Nothobranchius furzeri: one gene and its partner. The protein of the gene in region 1 interacts with the protein of each later gene in a pairwise test. Links are inferred from orthologs where the notes say so. Each region holds a gene or a part of one and is shown on either strand. Other genes may lie near its edges.

Region 1 (2,466 bases):
TTTAAAACACCACGAAACAAAAACACTTCACAGCTATGAACGGTAGATGTAGAAAGGCCAGTTATTTTCAGTGTTGGACACAAAACAAAAATAAAAAATGAACATGGTGGTTTTTGAACCACCGGCGCCCTCGTCTCTGCCTGAACTTGACTGAGTAACTTCATCCAGCTCTGACCTAGCTTCACCAGTCTGCGTTCATTAGTTAGGCCAGCCGTACTGACGTCCCATCTCTGCACCGTCCTCTTCACATTTCTCTCCCTCTCTCACACACACACACACACGTAAATATCAGGGTTAATACATTCAGTTGTGGTGCTGCTCTTTGGCATGTGTGCAGTGAGGAAAGAAACATTTGCGTGTAAAAAAAGTCACTAATTTAAAGTTCTTTACAGTTCTTTAGGGACTGTACCAGCGAGGGGACCAACTGACGCCCTGTTTTATTGCACATTTGTGTGAGATGGGTGACACGAATTCAAAATTCGAGATTAATCAATTTGCATTTAAGAAGAATGATTAACTCACATAAAAAATAATTAAAAAAAACAAAAGGGATGATAACAAAAAGGGGCGACTCAACGTAACTTGGACACATTTTTCCTAAATCTGACCAGTTTTAAGGAGTCAAACTCTGTAAGGAGCATTTGTAAATCTGATCAAGAGGCTACAAATGTGGTAAACTGTAGGGGTTAACATCTCAGGACATGTCCACAGCTCACACCACCAGGACCTTGACTTCATCCTGCTCGTCAGGCCGATAAAAGAACGGGATGCAAGGGTTCTCTCCTAGGAAGTGGGGTGACCTCTGAGCCCCCTGTGGGTTCTGGATCTCCTGGAGGAGCTGCATGATTTGCCAGGCTGTGCCATCCTCCTTTGGCCCCAGTGGTTTGGATTCAGTCTGAACAAGTCCACGTGATAGCGTCTGGGATGATGAAGCTTCAAGACCATTGGGAGGCTCAGACAGCGGGATGACCTCCATGGCTTCTGTGGAAAAGAAAAACTAGTGAACCTCTGCAAATATATAGAAGAAATTCACAATCTGTCTGAAAATGACAATGTGTTGTTGTTACAAGAGCACCTGAGCAAAAGCATCACGTTTTCTGTCACTTTAATACAGACAAAATTATTGGACCATTTTGTAAAGGGTCAGTTTAAAGATTCCATTCACCAAATTTGCCTTTTTGAAGCCTGAATTAATCAAAAATTAAATGAGAACCACTAGAAATCTAAGAACGTCTCACCAACCTTCTCAGAGGCCTAGAGGTAGAGTGTCTGATAGGGCTGGGCGATATGGTCTAAAATCAGTATCACGATATAGTGAGGATTTAACCTCGATAACGATAAATGGACGATAACTACAGGTATGCACAGAAACAAAAGTTGTCCTCTATGTTTATGTTTATTTATTTGGCAGACGCTTTTATCCAAAGCGACGTACAATTTTTAACTTGTAGGTCATGCTGTGATCTGTAGGGGAAACCGGAGTGCCTGGAAGAAACCCACGCATGCATGGGGAGAACACGCAACTCCACGCAAAAAGGCCAGGGCCGAGTTTCGAACCTGCAACCTTCTTGCTGCCAGGCAAGAGTGCTAACAACTGCTCCACCATGCAGCCCACTAGATGGGGCTGTCACATGTATTATGTTGAATCACATTTTTATGTGACTCAAGGTGGTATAGCATCTGAAATGGACATGAACGTTGCCAACCTACACAAATTTTCATTGTTTTATTATCAAATTTATTGACATGGGAAAATTTATCTCGATAAGAGTCAGAAATTTCGATAAGGATAAATTTTCGATTTATTGCCCAGCCCTAAGAGATCGTGGTTCTAGTAGAGTTGGGTCGTACCAAAGACTTTAAAAATAGGACCCAATACCTCCCTGCTTGACACTCAGCTTTGCGGGGTTGGATTGGGGGGGGGGGGGGGGGTTAAACCACCAAATAGTTCCTGAGCGCAGCCACAGCTACAGCTCACCGCTCCTCAAGGGAATGGGTCAAACGCAGAGATGAATTTCATCAGTGTGTGATAACTAATTGGACTTTTACTTTAACAGTGCCACTAAAAAGAGAAACGAAGCTGAAATTGCAGCGCTCAGTTAGTGATTTAGTGCATCTACTAGTGCTCACCGTCTCCACTGACGGCGTGAACCTCAGATCCTGTTTGGTGCTCTGAAAGAGAGTGGTCCTGTCCAACAGGAAGCAGGTCTGGGTTGACCGCCCCCATGTTGGCTACAGCTCCAGCGTAGCGGTTGTACCAGTCGTTCCTCTCAGCCACCAGCCTCATGACCAGATCCTGCAGCTCTGCTAGTTTGACCTAATAGATCAGAGGTAAGCATCAGTGAACAGGAAACACTACATTTAATTCTAAAACTGTTAAAATAAACCAAGCTTTAATGAGAAATTTAGGCTGCACAGTATCAATCTAAATAAAGACATTTAATAAAATGTTCAATTCATCGCATG
Region 2 (3,657 bases), on another chromosome or scaffold:
TCTGAAGAAGTGAATTGAAGTGCTCCTATCAGATGTTTTTGGACCCGTATTGTCAAGATCCTAAGTAATTGGTGTGGAACAGACATCCCTTTAACCCAGAACTGTGCTTATTGGGAGATAAATCTCAGTTGCCTAATGTAAATAAGTGTAATTTTTCAATCATCTCAGTGGGATTAACAACAGCCTGTGGAGTCATTTTAAGACACTGGAAAGCAGTAGAATCTCCAGAGGTTAAGGAATGGGTCTGTGCAATGGCCGAATCTGCATCATGTGAATGTATGCTCAGTAGTAGTTGTAGTGAGTGAAGACAACAGAGAGGGAACTGGGATGGATTCTGGAACTTTATAAAGACAAAGGCCTTGGGTGAAATCAAGCACGTTATGTGACTGCTGTTACTCAGACATTACGTGTCTGCAAGAGTTCTATGATTGGGACCTGTATCCAAAATCAACTGTTATATCTGTATATTTAGTACCTCCATGTTTAGTATCTATTGAGACTGCTATGTACCAGCCCCTAAAAGAAAGTTCAATACAAACTTGAATAAAAAAAAAAAAAAGAAGTGAATTGGAAGTCCAGTGGGCAGTATCCACCACCTCCATCTTGGCCACGTCATACGTCTTGTCACTCCAGGAAAATACAAAAATAGAGCTGTGAGGGTGGAGGGCAGGTAATTGACTCCCATCAAACTCTGAGCCGAGGTGGCTACGAGCTAACCAAAGCTAACGGAGGTTGGTGGGTGCTCGTATCCAGAAAACTGCAATTGACCGACTGCTACCCTTAGCTTTGTAGGTTATAATGCTTTTAAAGGGTTCGTTACGGTGCTTGAAATCCTTGACAATGCTTTTATTTTAATAACATGTTTTCAAGGTATGGAAAGTGCTTGATTTCTGTATTAAGTATTTGAAAATGTTTGAAAAACAAACTTCAGTTTTATATTTGTGATCAATTTAGTTTGATTAAAAAACAAAATTTGTAAATACTGAAAACTAGAGTTATCATTTTACCTTTAATAAATGCTGCTGCTGCTGCTCCATGGGGGTCGGCTCTTTTCTGTAACACCGGTGTGTGAGCAGCAGACTCCAGCGGTGTCTTCTGGCTTCGCTTTGTAGCAGACCCACTTTAACTATGAAACATATTTGCTTGTCACGCGCGTGTGCTTTGGTTCTAGGATCCAGCGGGATGTGATGCTTAGTTATGCAATCAGGACTGTAGCAGGGTACCCAAAACAACAGTAGGAAAGATTTTTTTCGCTGCTAAGTTTTGGTACTTTCCCTGTTATAAGCTGCAACGCCCCACTCCTCCCAATGCTGCGGTTCACATCAGATGTAGGCTGCTTTCTCGGCCACTAATTTTGTTTACAAAACATCTCCGAGTTCGTGAACTAATAAAATACCAACAAAAAAAAGTTTCGGCTGCATCTTGTTGAAGTAAACAGTAGAACTAAATGTAACGTGTTCAGATTTGTTTCACTAAACATAGAAACACCAGTCATTTAATAAAGCACTTGGTCATTCATCGCGTCTGTTTGTGAACCGAAGCTTCCATGTACTGTGTTTGGTTGCAAAAGCAGACCAGACCTACTGTGGCAAGCCATTTTATCATTTATTCAGCAGCAACACCTACTTGTAATACCTATGATACACAGGGACAATATAATTCAACCTAGTCTGTCTCTCTTGTCTCGTCAGGAAGACCATTGATAAAAAATGTGTTAATATTACTAACATGTTTGATTATAGCTTCATTGCTTAGAATTAAAATAGTTTAAAAAGTGTGTGGCTGTGTTGTGCGATAAACATCACCAGGATACACGCATGTTGCGGCTGGCAGGCTCGCTCTTCCCTGCACCTGTAGTGCTGGATGTGAAAAAAGTGATGAGAAAGCAGCTCCTTCATCGGCTCCAGGAGGCTGCACAAACTATTTGCAACCACAGTCATTCAGCGTGAATAATGTACTGCTTTCCTGGTTGTGTTTTAGCTGTTCATAGGCAATTTCTCTCTCTGTGTTAGCTAGTTGTGTGTTTTTGTTTGAGTTGCTGCTGTGAACTGGGAGAGCTGGGTGTTTGGTTTCAGGGTGGCAGACTAGAACTAAAAGCAGATGGTTAAAACTAAGACATCCTTATGTTTGAAATTCTTTCTGAGGATGAATTTAAAAGGTCTTCCTTGTTGCTTTATAGTGTTATATCTGATCTCTTTCACCTGCTTCCAATTTAAAATAATGTGATCAGGGCCAATGTCCAATCCTGTGATTGGATAAGATCGTCACTGTTAATGTGAGGTGAGGTGAAACTCTCCTCTTGAGTTCTTGTGTATTGTCTTGTCTTTAACGTATGATGCTTAAGAAGTCTGAAAATTAACCTTGGAGACGCTTGAATTTGTCACTGGGAAAAGTGTAACAACCCTGTTTTAACATGAGGCTGAGGTTTTTCCCTGGAAACCCAAAATCATCCGCATGAACCTGGTCTAGCTGGCTCTGTGTGATGTCACAATCAGATGTGGTTCTGATCCAATCAGCTTCAGATGAAACACAACCCGTGTTCTTGGAACTGTCGATGGTCACAGGAGTTTTACTTTGAAGGAACAAATCTACTTCTGCCTGAAAACAGGAAGTGAGTTTATGATCAATCAGATGGAGGGCATCTAAGTGTCCTTTACTTACTGGAATAAAACATGTAGTGTTTAATTTTCAAAAAGTTTTATTAAACAAAATGTCTGATTTCATAAACATGTATTTGGGGTTATTTATGAACAGTAACAAAAACCAGGCTCTGGAGTTTTAGGGCTGATTTATGCGTCTCCGTCTGCGTCAGTGTGGAGACACGCAACGCCATTATCCGTCCTTGCGTAGGGCCCTGGCAGGCACGCAAGTACGTACGGAGTCGAGCCCACTTTTCTAAACATCCGTCCGTCGAGATGGAGAACGCACGCTTGTGATTGGTCAGGGCATCGCTGTCGTCTACACCGCCGCCATTGCGCCCTCAAAAACATAAAAAGAGCCGAGAATAACTAGCGGCAGACACGGAGAAGCTTGAAGAATACCTCGCGAAAAAAACTATAAACGTTTAATTCCCCCGTAGCTGGAGGAGTGAAAAGATGCGCAGCAAGCGTTTAATTTGTGGACGGAAATGACAGGAAACGTGGGTTTAGAGGTGGGGAGCGCATGAAGGGGTGAAGGAGAATGAGAGACAAATTTGTCCGTGTTAAAAAGTCTCTTATGTACAAAAAACACAATATAAACACACGATCTTGGACCGATACCTGACAGGATACCACAGAACAGCGCTACGCCCTCTGTTGTCCTGGCGGGGAATTGCTTTGCAACACTCTCCAGGAGACGGAGAAGTATGAGAGCAAAACGCTTCTGTCTGTCCGTGCGTGTCTGTCCCTTGCGGAGCTGACGGAGAAGCATGAATCAGCCTTAAGATCAAGTGGGTGTTGACCCGCTTCAGCACTGGTCTGATTTGTGTGTTCTGATTGGTCTTCCAGCAGCAGCCCATCAAGCGGCGGCGAGGTGAAAGCTCGTTTGACATAAACAACATCGTGATACCCATGTCGGTGGCAGCCACCACCCGGGTGGAGAAGCTCCAGTACAAAGAGATCCTCACACCCAGGTAGAGACTGCGTCCAAGTGTGGTTCTGGCTCTGATGGGAGTTC

The links. The genes of interacting proteins can lie anywhere in the genome.
Region 2: the proteins of golga2 (region 1) and KAT8 regulatory NSL complex subunit 1 interact in binary tests that used the Homo sapiens proteins (3 or more experiments, as listed by UniProt). The two-hybrid records come from large-scale screens. The link is inferred for Nothobranchius furzeri from reciprocal best matches to the Homo sapiens genes GOLGA2 and KANSL1.

What each region holds. Positions count from the first base shown.
Region 1 is NC_091746.1:54,866,982-54,869,447, forward strand, and holds part of golga2 (golgin subfamily A member 2), read right to left. Parts: intron 2,318-2,466; coding exon 2,131-2,317; intron 982-2,130; coding exon 713-981; 3' UTR 1-712. UniProt on the Homo sapiens protein: Peripheral membrane component of the cis-Golgi stack that acts as a membrane skeleton that maintains the structure of the Golgi apparatus, and as a vesicle thether that facilitates vesicle fusion to the Golgi membrane.
Region 2 is NC_091756.1:53,931,840-53,935,496, reverse strand, and holds part of KAT8 regulatory NSL complex subunit 1, read left to right. Parts: intron 1-3,488; coding exon 3,489-3,613; intron 3,614-3,657. UniProt on the Homo sapiens protein: Non-catalytic component of the NSL histone acetyltransferase complex, a multiprotein complex that mediates histone H4 acetylation at 'Lys-5'- and 'Lys-8' (H4K5ac and H4K8ac) at transcription start sites and promotes transcription initiation.